Canis lupus familiaris: one gene and its partners. The protein of the gene in region 1 interacts with the protein of each later gene in a biochemical or structural test. Links are inferred from orthologs where the notes say so. Each region holds a gene or a part of one and is shown on either strand. Other genes may lie near its edges. The genes, in order: MAP3K1, MAPK8 and MAP2K4.

Evidence for each region.
Region 2: of the proteins of MAP3K1 (region 1) and MAPK8, one has a biochemical effect on the other in vitro, tested with the Homo sapiens proteins (3 studies listed by BioGRID, with this or other methods). The link is inferred for Canis lupus familiaris from reciprocal best matches to the Homo sapiens genes MAP3K1 and MAPK8.
Region 3: of the proteins of MAP3K1 (region 1) and MAP2K4, one has a biochemical effect on the other in vitro, tested with the Homo sapiens proteins (7 studies listed by BioGRID and IntAct, with this or other methods). The link is inferred for Canis lupus familiaris from reciprocal best matches to the Homo sapiens genes MAP3K1 and MAP2K4.

What each region holds. Positions count from the first base shown.
Region 1 is NC_049223.1:43,098,846-43,103,632, reverse strand, and holds the start of MAP3K1 (mitogen-activated protein kinase kinase kinase 1), read right to left. Parts: upstream 3,292-4,787; coding exon 2,810-3,291; intron 1-2,809. UniProt on the Homo sapiens protein: Component of a protein kinase signal transduction cascade. Activates the ERK and JNK kinase pathways by phosphorylation of MAP2K1 and MAP2K4. May phosphorylate the MAPK8/JNK1 kinase.
Region 2 is NC_049249.1:547,016-550,870, forward strand, and holds part of MAPK8 (mitogen-activated protein kinase 8), read left to right. Parts: intron 1-1,050; coding exon of another isoform or gene 1,051-1,055; coding exon 1,056-1,201; 3' UTR 1,202-3,855. UniProt on the Homo sapiens protein: Serine/threonine-protein kinase involved in various processes such as cell proliferation, differentiation, migration, transformation and programmed cell death.
Region 3 is NC_049226.1:36,354,149-36,358,935, forward strand, and holds the start of MAP2K4 (dual specificity mitogen-activated protein kinase kinase 4), read left to right. Parts: upstream 1-1,587; 5' UTR 1,588-1,602; coding exon 1,603-1,759; intron 1,760-2,849; coding exon 2,850-2,952; intron 2,953-4,787. UniProt on the Homo sapiens protein: Dual specificity protein kinase which acts as an essential component of the MAP kinase signal transduction pathway. Essential component of the stress-activated protein kinase/c-Jun N-terminal kinase (SAP/JNK) signaling pathway.

The DNA of each region.
Region 1 (4,787 bases):
TTTTTTTAAGTCACAAAAATAGGATAGAGTAATTATATCTACCAAACTCACAACAGTCTGTTCAATGGAGAGTAACACTGTAATTTTTCTTCAAAGACAATAAATAGGAAGAAAAAGTTCCTAATTCTGTAATAGAAGTTAAAATTCCAAACCCTTGGGCGCCACTTACAGGCACAAAACTTTCATTGATTTCAATTATTACCCTAAAGGAGAGGGGGACATAAAATCTTTTAATATGAGTATAACTTACATAATTTATACTCTGCAAATGTATTTTCTACATTTTCAGTTTCTACATCAAAGATAAAAAAAAACTGAAGTAAATTCTGAAATTAAAATAGAATTCTCTTTAAAAAGTACGGTAAGTCTTTAGGCAGAAGGGAGCTCCAGATCTATACTACTACTGAAACATAAAAATACTTCAAAATATCAGTGCTTTATTTTCCTCTAGGAAGTACAAAAGAAACTACTGTCAAGGACAGCCCAGGTGGCTCAGCGGTTTAGCGCCGCCTTCAGCCTAGGGTGTGATCCTGGAGTCCCAGGATCGAGTCCCACATCGGGCTCCCTGCATGGAGCCTGCTTCTCCCTCTGTCTGTGTCTCTGCCTCTCTCTCTCTCTCTCTCTCTCTCTGTTTCTCATGAATAAATAGATAAAATATTAAAAAAAAACTGTCAAAAAAGTAAAATGTAAAGTTTACTGAACTCTTTATAATCAAAGTATTCATACAAATAGGTGCAAATTAATTTCAATCCCACAGACAAGGAATGGAAGGAGAAATCACTGTATTTTCAAGATTAGAGAATCAACATTTTACTATAAATGAAGTCTGTAGGTATGACATTAGCATACTGGCTAATGAAATTCATTTTTTAAAAATGATAATGCTGATTACCTCATTAAACAAATAGCTCCTTTACAAAGAGGGGTAAAAAAAACCTGTGTTATAAAATGCAAAAACTAAGCGTGGGTTACTCCGTCCTGAATTCGATCTGCCTCCACCTTAGTCCTCTTATGGTGTGTGGTTGCCCTCACGAGAACAGATGCAATGTTATGCTCTAACATTATGCTCTAAAGTTGCTCTCACGAGAACAGACGCAATTAACTTTTAAAATTTAATGCCTAATATTTTTATCTGGAGCTCATTTGTACTATAAGTTGCCTTCAAAGAATTATTCTAGTGAGGTTTTAATTCAATCTTCACAGAAGTAGGAAAGTATAGAGAAACCTAACTCTTGTTAGACTAAGTTATATTTACAAGTGCACACAGTAAACTATCACAGCCACAAATCTCCTTTCCTCTCAAGATTGCCACGCCCCAGCGTTGACCATAATTTTTAGGGTTTCTTTTTTGGGGGGGGGGGGGTGCAACTTCCTGGTAATAAATGAACTGCGGTTTTAAATAAATAAAGAAATCGAGCTCAACAAAGTGCTAAAGCACTTCAGATAATTAACCCAAACCAAGGATTCGTATCGCCAAATTCGTCTCACAAGGGAAACAGATATAAGGCATAGTGTTTAAAATACCCAGAATAAAGGTCAGGAGACTCCACGGGGCAACGGTTAAGTATCACAAAAACATTTCCAGCAACTCGAAATACTCATCAGGACTATGCTGTGCAAACACTCCCCAGATTTCCTTTAAAAAAAAAAAAAAAAAAAAAAAAAAAAAGGATTACGGCTGTCACACTTAAGAATTTTCTTTAAAATAAAGATTTTTTTTTTTTTTTTTCAGTTGTACAGAAAGGGTCAGGCCTGGAACGGCGGGTCCTCTGGGTCGCACGTACCGTGAGGCACAGGCGCCGCCGCACTAGCGGGGCCCGGGGGCCGCCGGCGGGGAGCCCGCGCAGCCGCAGCCCGCAGGACGCCCCGCACCCGGGCCGCGGACCCCGGCCGCGCCGCACAGGCTGCGGGGAGCGGGCACCGCCGCGGGGCGACTGAATGGCTGACGCATCCGGTCCGGCTCTCGCACCGCTCGCCGAACGCACACTTCAAAGGCCAGATTCAAACTCCAAACCGAAGTCACTCAAATCTCAGTGGCGCTGTGCGCATTCCCAAGAACAGGCGGAGCCCCTCGAGGGCGCAGAGGGGAGACCCAAGTCCTCGGATATTCCGAGCCCCCGAGTCCGCAGCCCGCCCGCCCGCCCGCCCGCACCGCTTTGACAGGCGGACGGAGCCTGCAGCCCCGAGCCCCGCGCGGCCCGGCTGCCGGCGTCCGGGTCCCCGCCGGCCCGGTACCTGCCGAGGAGCTCCGCCTGTCAAGGTCGGGAGGACCTCACCGCGTCCCCCGCCGCCCCCCCGCCTCCCGGCCCCCGGCCCCCGGCCCCGGGCTGGGCTCCGCACCCACCCCGCCCCTTTCCGGGCCACCGCCAGCCTGCAGGCTCGGGCCTCAGCCCCCGCGATCCCGGGACTCTCGTCCAGGGCCGCCGCCGAGCTGCTGCCCGCCCCCCAGCCCAGCCCCGAGCGCAGCGCCGCGGTCCCGAGCCGGGTCACCTCGGGGAGTCCCGCGCCCCGGGCCCCGGGCCCCTCACCTCATCTCTACGGGTCCCCGCGGCGCGGCCCGCACGCCTGTCACATGTCCGCACACAATAACAAACTCTCCGGCGCGTCCCCGCCCCGGGTCCCCGGGCCGCCCCCCGGGCCGAGCCCCGGCCGCCGCCCGCCGCCGCCCGCCGCCGCCCGCCGCCGGAGGGGGTCGGAGGGGGTCCCCGAGGGCTCGGATCCCGACGGGCGGCGCGGGGCCCGGGCTTCATTCATTGCCTCGCCCGCCCGCCCCGCGGGGCCCCGCCGCGCCCCCGGCCGCGCTGCTCACCCGGCGGGGGCCGCTGCAGGAGGCGGCTCGGCGGCGGGCGTCCGCTTCTCCCCGGGCTCGGCCCCCGCGGGGCTCGGGGCGCCGCTGTCCGGGGCGGCCGCGGGCTCCGGAGGGCGGGCGCCGCCACGGCTCGCGGCTCCGTGCGGCTGCGGCGCCGCCAGAGGCTGGAAGGCGCTCCCGCCCGCCGCGGCGTCCGAGGGCTCCGGCGACGGGGAAGGGGAGGAGGACGGCGGCGAGGCGGCGAGGAAGAGCGGCGGCTCCGGCAGCTGGTCCAGCTCCACGCTCCGCACTTTGCGCAGCTGCCGCCGCCGCCAGTCAGCCCGCTCGCGGCCCCCGCTGCCCCCCTCCCGCAGCAGCCCCGCGGCTGCCGCGGGCGCGCTGCTCGCCTTGAGAGCCGCTCCGCCGCCGCCCGCCTCGGGGCTCGCCGCCCCGGCGCCCGGGAATCCCGACGACGAGGCGCGATTCCCCGCCGCCGCCGCCATTTTCTCTCGCGGGCTACATTCGCTCGGCCCCTGCGAGGGAGGGAGGGGGCGGGGAGAGCGCAGGGGGAGGGCGGGCCGGCGGGCGCTGCGCCGCTGGCGTAGGGCAGCCTGCGCCAACTGCGTGAGCGGGGCCCGCCGGGCGCTGGGCCCGGACGGCCGGGCGGGCGCACGGGGCCCGGCCGCGGGGGAGGAGCGGGGCCGGCGCCGAGCAGGTGGAGCGAGTGGGCCCGGCGCCCGCGCGGCCGGGCGAGGCGGGCGGGGACGCAGCCGCCGCAAAGGCGCCCTGGGCTTTGCGTGCCGCCCTCGCCCGGCCGCCAGGTGCTCCCGGGCTGCACCGGCGAGAGGAGGAGCCTCCGCGGCGGCCGTGCGCCGCTTCCTCTCGGCCGCAATCTCGGCCCGGCCGGTCGGGAGGTTGCGTTTCGAAATTCGGTGTGTTGGTGCGTCGGGCGGGTGCCGGCGAGAGGGCGTACGGCCTGTCATTCTCACCGCCCTTTGCAGGGGGCGTCGGGGAACCCGGGCGAGGACCGTCCCTCCACCCCCGACTCCGCGCGGGGCGCGCAGGTGGCGTCCAGGGTCGTTGCCTGGTGCAAAGCGAAAGAAACCCAGTGTTCAGCAGACGTGCAGCTGCAAACCAAAAAAATAAATAAAAAATGTGTGTGTTTTTCTTTTAAAGCTTTTCTCCCTTTTTGTCCTCCTCTCTCCCAACATATACAAATAAAACTTCACAGAGTTTCCTGGGATATCTTGTTTACAACCTGGAGTCAGCGATGGGGGACACCCTTCTCACCTCCTCCTCCGCCTCCGCTGGAGACACGCGAGGAGGAGCGGCAGTCTTTGTACATCTTTATTTTTTCCTGCGCTCTTTTTTTGGGAAAGGCTACGGTGTACAGGACCAACGGAGCGCGTTAGGGGGAAGGAACCTAGGCTGTGCCGGAAAGTGCTCGACAATGTCACCCTCGGCCAGGTTTCGGCCCTCCCCGAACCCAGTGCCCCTGGCGGCACGTCCCTCTTCCCGGCAGGGTCTGGCCACCGGCCGGGTTCCCCCCGCCCCCGCCCCCGCCCCCGCCCCCGCCCCCGAGTTGCCTAACGTGGCTTTCGGAGCCCGTCCAGTCCCCGGGGCAGTCTCGGCGCTAAGGTGCCTTGGAATGGGAAAAGCACCATTTACATGTTAATGACTTTCGACCTTTTTCTTCTGGCGAGTAGAGCTTCTTCTGTGAGGCGTTTATTTCTCCCCTCTCTTATTTTCCTCCAGCTGATTTGTGTGTTGGGGGGGGGGAGGCTCCTACAACTCGGGACACGCATCCCTAGATTTATTTTGCAAAATGTTAATCAAGACATGGGGATGGGTAGGAGGGAGGGGGAGGGTTCTTCACGAACAGAAAGAGGACTATCTTGTCAGTCTTCATAGAATTAGACATTAGGTCTGAACTCTGCAAAATAATTCATTTGACTTCTTGGAACTCGATAAAATGAAAGCCTCCTTCCTGACTATAAAT
Region 2 (3,855 bases), on another chromosome or scaffold:
TTGTTCATCATTAGACAGAATAATGGGATAATTTAAAACACTGAGATGCTAGGTACTAGAGCAGTGGTTTTCAGCCTGCTTTGTTTTTAGCTTTGTTTTTATCCTTGAGTGCTTGAAACTCAGCCCTAGAAATGCTTACTGCTCAATATGAAAACCATTGCTTTTATTCCATAAATGTATTCTTAAGAACTTCTGTATAATTTGTATTATTTAATAAGCTCAAATTTGGAATGACTCTTATTTGATCACATAGCTCAGAAGAATTTAAAAAAAAAATACATACTTACCTAGAACATGAATCATCTTTAACATATTTCCCATCCCTCAGTGACATTCCCTCCTATGTCCTAACCCAACTCCCTTCAAAGGATTTCTCTATTGGTTATTTATTCCTGCTACTTTCTAAAAAAAATCCAGATGGGATGCCTGGGTGACTCAGCAGTTGAGCGTCTGCCTTTGGCTCAGGGCGTGATCCCAGGTCCAGGGATCAAGTCCCACTTTGGGCTCCCTGCAAGGAGCCTGCTTCTCTACCTATGTCTCTGCCTCTCTCTCTCTCTCTCTCTCTCTCTCTCTCTCTCTCTGTCTCCCTCTCATGAATAAATAAATAAATCATAAATAAATAGGTAAGTATATGTATGTATGTATATATATTATATCGATACATATCCAGGAAATGCTTGTTAGCTATAGCTAACTTACTTCCAGTAAAGGAAATAATCTTCTTGTACTTTTATGTTTTATGTTTTAAAATCTTTTTTAAAAAAGATGTGCCAGGATATTGTTTGGAGTTTACAGTGAAAAGATAAGTAATTTTTATTAGGGCAGTAGTCTTTTAACCTTTTGGGCCATATATCCCTTTGAGATCCTCTCTCCAACAAAATGCAGTACAGACAGTTTTGCATGTTTTATCAGTATTATTCATACACAATCTAATGAGCCTTTTCAAAGCCAAGAGAAAAAAATTATTGATCACTAGAGGTAGCCAATACAGTATAGGCAGCTCGGCATGCAACTCTGTCTGCAACTGATTTGCTGTTTTGTTTCTCATAGCACAGGTGCAGCAGTGATCAATGGCTCTCAGCATCCATCGTCGTCATCATCTGTCAATGATGTGTCTTCAATGTCAACAGATCCAACTTTGGCCTCAGATACAGACAGCAGTTTAGAAGCATCAGCTGGACCTCTGGGCTGCTGTAGATGACTACTTGGGCCTTTGGGGGGTGGGGGGATGGGGAGTCATTTAGTCATTGATAGAACTACTTTGAAAACAATTCAGTGGTCTTATTTTTGAGTGATTTTTCAAAAATGTAGAATTCATTTTGTAGTAAAGTAGTTTATTTTTTTTAATTTCAAGTGATGTAATTTAAAACTTAAGTTGTGTTTTAAAACAGCAACAAAACTGTATTGTATTTTTGCTGTAATTAACTGTATAATGTAAACCTAATTATTTTATCATGGTTTAAAATTTTTGCATATTTGCTTTATCTTATGCTGCTGATTTTTTTTTTTTTTACTGAATTTCTAAGATTTTGTTTAAGCAACTATTATGTGGTGACTTGCCTATATCATGAATTATTTAAGATTTTATAGTTTTTTTAATTAGAATTTTATTTTAAATGTTTTGTTCATGATGCTATCCTTCAGGGTTATGTGCTTATCAATGAAATAACCCCAGAGGAGTGAGGGAAAATAACCTGTAGCCAGTTGTATTCAGGAATAACTACTGTAAATGATGAACGTGTTAAAAAACCTCCAATATTTGCTACTTGCCAATCCTAATTTAATTATAACAGTTGGTAGGCATCCTACAATTGTTCTTTGGCGAAAGTCCCATCATCTAAATGGCAGAATAACTTAGAGCATGTCTTTGAAGATGATGGGCGTCTACCCCCACCCTCCTATTCCCCAACCCCACACAACAAAAGTAAAGTAAAAAGAATATGGTATTTTTACAAATTTGTGGCATGCTCAAAGCTTATGATTACATAAAGTCAAGAGGATACTTCATGAATAATACATTTCAATGCAAATAAACAGATGGTTCACTTCTACTAGCTATGAGCCTGTTTTTGTACACAGAGTTAATCTACTCAGGCTGTAGGTCCCAGCAGTGGTCTAGAGTCTGGTCTTTCCCTTTCCTGCAGCCTCAGGCCCTTGGACCTTTCTGGTTTCCTATCACAGTGTCAGTCAGGGGAGCACCAGTTCTCAAGGTGTTTCTGGCCATTTGATTCTAACTGTAGCATAATCATATTTATACTAGCTGTTGGGAGGTTCCAAAGCCTACTTCAATTTCTGTAGGTGATGTATCAAATGAGCAATATACCGTTCATCTGAAAATAGTAGCACACAGCCATATATAGGATATCATTTTCTAAGGACTGTTTCTTCACATTGAGCAGAGCAGGCATAAGTAGTGGTTATTTAGTCTGAGTCTTTGTTTTTTTATACCTAATTTTCAATAAAACATGCAATGTGGATGTTGAGTAGTGTAAGAATGGTGCTGCTCCTATCAAGTGTATGTTAACTGTTTACATTTTATACCTGCAGAATTCTTTCTCCACAACAAATTTTTCTTAAGTAAATGCCATTGAGGTCTCTATCTCTGAAATACATTCTCTGTATTGCCCCCAGACATTTTTTGTTATTTTTGGAACAAGAAGGATTTCATGTAATGAAGTGGGAAATGCATATGTAAGTAAGTGACAAGATTCTAGGCAGAAAGTCCATGGGAATTAATGACCAACAGGAGCAAGAACTGGTACATCTCAATATGCAGTGTCTGAGAGTTCGCTTGGCATGTTCTTCATATATTTAGTGCAAAATGCCTTTTGAGTTAGGTATTTTAGGTTATTGTTAATGTGCAATATTTAGGATTAAAATACATTAGCCTTTTTGTATGCTTTGAAATAGCAAGTTTGTTTTTGATGGTTTCCAGTTGTGAGTTCTAGCCTCTTGAAGTTATCAACCTTTTTATCAATCCCTCTTCTACTCATACAACATGGTGTGTTAATTTTATTAATAAGCAAATTAGAGTTTTGAGAATGTTACACCTCGAGTTATAGAAACAATTGGATTTGCAATTTTAGTGGAAATTTGAGCATGAGTGTGTTCTTAGTTTATATTAGTTCGGCAGTTAATCAGCTTTATTTTCCCTAGGATAGATTATTTCACTGTTGCACTTTAACAACTGACATGCTTTCAGAGGTTTCTCATATTTTATGTTTGATTGCCAGTAAGCCATCTCTATTGATACAGATTAAGCAAGGAAAACCAGGTGTTCTTACTGTATCACTTGTTGTAAATGCCAGCTCCCCCTTGCCAGCCAGCATGTTTCAGTTGATCCAGAGAAAAGGAATTCTTATTAGTCAATGCAGACTAAAATTCTTAACAAATTCTATCCTGAAAACAGTCTGTTAAATGTTAGGTGCCCTAGGTTTTTAAAATACAATATCTAAATACAACTTTCCCTCATTACATAAATCTATTAAGCTAAAGATGTACTGGTTCTTTTTATTTTATAAACCTTTTGAACCTTTAAAACATCTTAAACATTGGTGTGGGGTTTTTTTTTTTTTTAAGAAATTGCAAATAAGATTTCTATTAAGCAGTACTTATGTAAAGCCACCTTCTCATAACTTTGGTTTTTCAACTTTATATATTTAATATACTCATCATCTTACTGTCAGAAAATCATTTTGATTAAGATTTATTATTAACTGTATTATTTTATTATTCAGCTTTATAGGAAAGAGACAGTAATTCTTTCTACATAGTTCTTCCTGGTTACTACTCTGTTACTTTCTAATCATTTGTAAAATGATTGTGGTGTTGGGATTGCTTAATTATATATATAAA
Region 3 (4,787 bases), on another chromosome or scaffold:
GTGGTGTTTTCACGATCCTTTCACACACCACGTGAAAGGTGGTCACCTTTTGATTTGGGGGATTTGTGGGCATTGAGTTCATTCAGGTTTATGATTACAAAGGTCCTTACCTTAATTTTATCTCTAGAAACTCTGCCCTATAAAGTAACATTCATAGGTCCCAGGGATTGATTAGGACCTGGTATCTTTGAAGGCCACCATTTTCACTTATATCTCACTTACAGTACATATCTGTCCCGTGTACCAAGTACGTACATTCACCCTGCTCCAGTGTTCCCCCAGAGCCATAGCTCATTATAGCATCAGCTTGAATCCAGGTCTGATCTAGACACCATCAGTTCTGCTCATCAAAATCATCCAAGTCGGGTATGAGTGAGACAGAGTATGATCCATTGTGACATAAAATTCCTCTCCCTCTGTACTGGAAACAAGACCGGGTTACTTGGTTCCAAAACACAGGGGTCAGGCATTGGAAACCAGTTCTAGAGATACCCATTCAAAACAGGAGAACAATGAAGGAAGAAAGGAGGCAGCAGTTCCAAGGAGTTTCCAAATCCAGCAGGGCAGTTTCCTTTCAGTTGCAGGGCCTGGGGACGGTCTTCTGCTGTTCAATATTTCCTTTTATTTTGTTGTTGTTGTTGCTTGCTCTTCCTTTTTTTTTTTAAATTTTATTTTTTATTGGTGTTCAATTTGCCAACATACAGAATAACACCCAGTGCTCATCCCGTCTATTGGGGGTGAATGGGTGACAGGTGCTGAGGGGGGCACTTTCAATATTTCCTGAAGACAAATTTCTAAGAAGTGAAAGAGCATCTTCATGAAAAGTTTTTTCTTGTATATTGCTGAACCTTCAATCAGAAAAAATTATGCTATTTCCTTTTTTACCAGCAACATTTTGTACTAGTGATTTTTTTTTACCTGGTCACATTATCATTGGAAAAAAATTGTTGTATGTATAAAATGAGACCTAAGTTTTGCCAATTTTGCGTGAACAAAACTTTTTAAAAAAGATTTTATGGATTTATTTGAGAGAGAGAGAACGGGTGCCTGGGAGGGGGGTTGGGAAAGGGCAGAGGCAGAGAGAGAGAATCCCAAACAGACTCCCCACTTGGGAGCGGAGCTTGATGTGGGACTCAATCCCAGGACCCCTAGGATCATGACCTGAGGCGAAGGCAGACGCTTAGACTGAACCACCCAGGAGGCCCCTCACATGAACAAAACTTTAAACTGTTTTGTTGTTAGTGAATGCCTTTCATAATTTTTTCTCAGTTTTGCTTTACTGTTCATACCCTTGCCAATTTTTCTATTTTTCTTGATTTGTGTGATGTCTTTATATATTTAAAGTTCTTCTCATTTTGTATTGGAAGGATTTTCCCCAGCTTTCACTTAAAATTTGTTTTTTTAGATTTTGTTTTTTGGTAATATACAGTTTGCTTTTTAATACAGCCAAATTTGCTACGAAAGTTTGCTTTTTTGTAGAGCCAAATTTGCTGTTTAAGAAGAGTACCTTTTGCATGTATAGGTTGAATGCCCTTCCTCTACTTGCTGCCAAATAAAACTTAGTTTAAAATAAATATTTGGTACCTGAATTGGGCGGGTTACATGGAAAATTCATGTTGTAATATTCTTACTTCTGAAAATGATGTGTCTGGTCTTCTTGGGAATTCTCATTATCCTGTAGACAGGCCCATCCCTGAGAGCCGATCCGGGAGTCACAGCCAGGAGCTTTCTGCTCTTATCCTACAGTCCTGTCCAACTGGTATGTTTGGCACACTCAAACTTGCAAATCTCATTGAAAGCACCAGGCTGAGCAGAATGAGTCCCTTCATACATATTCCAAATCCACTGGGATGGGAAAGTATTTGGATTGCAGAGGTGTTGTTGGAGAAGGTAGAATTAGGCATAATAAACTGTGAAGAGTGTATTCTGGAAAAAGATATACTACAGTGCTTAAAAACCCAATTCTGTTACAAAGTCTCTATTCAGTAAAATCCCAAAGAAATGTTTTTATAAGATTTATAGACATAGAAGAAACATGGTCAGTGAGTAAAGCATGTTAAAAAACATATTGTGGTCTGATTTGAATTGTAGAGAAAAAAATGTGTATGCATAGAAAGTAGTTTCTAGGAGACAATGATTATTTGGGGATAATTGGACTTAGAAATGTAAAAAAAAAAGTATATACAATATTTTGTATATTTATATTGTCTTTTATCTTTTCTGAATTTTCTGGCTTTTCTATACCGGGCAAGTTTTGTTTGTATAATATAAAACACTGTTACCTTCCCTCCCTACTCCCTATCCCAAAGAAATGGCTCCAAATAAATGATTATTTGAAATACCTGTGTTATGAACTTGGTTGGCAGTGCCGTGACTTTTTTTTTTTTTTTTTTTTTTTTAGTTATGATTGCAGACTGCTTCAGATTCTTTACTCAGTTGTTAATATTGTATTTTAGGGAAAATTATTTTTATTAAATAAAGATGTTGAAGTGTAACCCTGGAAAGGTGGTAATATTTTAGTATTTTTCAGTGTATCTGCCAAAGTGAATGATTTTTATAGTGGTGTTTTCTTTTGCAAAAGTGTTAGCATCTCTGAACGATATAAACCTGAACCATTGTTTTCTATTGATTTGGAAGATAATGGGTGATTTGTGGTTAATAATAACTTTAGATCCTTTTTATTTACTTTATCTTAAAGCTGAGAAATTCTTTGTTGCCTTTCAAAATATGATATTAACTATATGTTAAAACAAATTTTTTCTGCTTTTTGGTGTGAATTTCTTATGCCCTCAGATTAGTGTCTGTTTTATAGTACTTGAAACTTTTACTTTTTATTTGTTATTTCTTAGGTAAACGCAAAGCACTGAAGTTGAATTTTGCAAATCCACCTTTCAAATCTACAGCAAGGTTTACTCTGAATCCCAACCCTACAGGAGTTCAAAACCCACACATGTGAGTATTCCTGGTAATCAACTAAAAGGCTCAACTCAAGCAGAAGTTTTAAAGTTATTGTATTTTATGAATTTTTCCAAGTCAAGGAATTGGTATTTCCATTGTCTTATGGGCCGTTTGACACTTGGTCTTAGCCAAAAGGCTGAGAAGAGATCTTTTATGGGCCTTTTGAAATAATTACTACTTGAACTTAATTAGAAAGCTATTGATTCTGTGGTCTGAAGTAGGTGAACACAATTTTCTTTGTTAAAGTTTACTTGAAGGGGAAAAGAGCTGAAGATCCAGCTCAATTTTTTCAATTTTTCTCTTGCTGAACTCTGAGAATATTGTTTAGACCTGTCCTTCTGGATCTCCAGTTAAATTGTAAGTGGTAATTAGGAAACATTACTCTCCTCTGTAGATCTGCACAAATCATCCCCACTTACCAGGTGATAAAGTAGAGTGTCATTTACCCTTTCTGGATAAATGACATTCCTGTAAGATTTCCATGTCACAGTAAATTGAGAGTACATGTACATGTTGGTGTATAGGTGTCAGTGATTACTTTTAAAATGTATTTTATATATATATATATATATATTTATTTATGTGTGTGTGTATTTTCCCTAAATATTTTTTATTAAAATACAAAAATGATATTTTAGCATCTTGCTGAAGGTCAAAGTGTTAGAAACATCTGTTACTTTAAAATAATACCTTCAGAATGATATTTGTAGATCTCTTGAACTGCAGTGATGTATTAAATAATGATGCCTCCCCACTACCCCCCAAAACCTATCATGAACACAAACAAGTCAAAGCCAGTGGGTTTGCATTTATACTCATGTTCATAAAGATAATTTTTACCTACTTCTGGTATCAAGAACAATAAAGCAAATGGTGGAAGGTGTTTTAAAAAAATGGTCAGAATATATCATCTTGTAGTTTTTAATAATTATAACAAAATAATTTTTATTCAAGCCTAATTAGACTACAAATATATTCATGCTTCCCCCCAAAGGCACACTTCTTGCTGTTTCCTTTCCTCATGATGTCTGACATGCATTGTATTTACAAACAGTAACAAATTTGTAGAAGGCAGTGTGTCTCACAATAGGAATGCTGAAAATATATTGTGATTTTTAAAACATCGATGTGTAGAAGGGAGCAATGTGGAGGTGTGTGTGTATGTGATTAGGCTTTCGCCTGTAACTTGAAAGCAATAAAAAACTGAAGTAACAGTTCACTTGCCTGGGAATAGTGTTTGCTAATTTTATTAGACTGGTGTTCATAATGAGATTTGTTGTCAGACATCAGCTTAGAGTCTAGCTTTTTTACCTCCTCTGAAACATCAAGTGGGGGCTATACTGAGGAAGGAAACTCTTTTTTTTTTTTTTTTTTTTTTTTTAGGAAGGAAACTCTTAGTACCTCTTAATTAGTCAAAGCTCTGGTGGCAAGGAAACATTCTTAAAAGAACCTCCTTCCTCATTTCCTAGAATTTCTAGTGAAAGCTAGTACAAAACTAATTCTTGAACATGGTCCATGTCTATTACCTTGGTTGCTAGCTGAACCACATATAAAGGATATGTAGTTATTGCCAAACTTAGTAGCTCGCTCTTCTTTCTCTTTTCTCCTTCCTTCCTTCCTTCCTTCCTTCCTTCCTTCCTTCCTTCCTTCCTTCCTTCCTTCCTTCCTTCCTTCCTTCCTTCCTTCCTTCCTTCCTTCTCTTTCTTTTTTTAAAAGTCCCCTTGGACACAAGGACAACCTGAACTGCAAAAACATTTATATCATTTGTACCCTCTTCCTTTGAGAGTATCATGTATTAGGGAATTCATGGACAAATCTTTTTTTCTTTT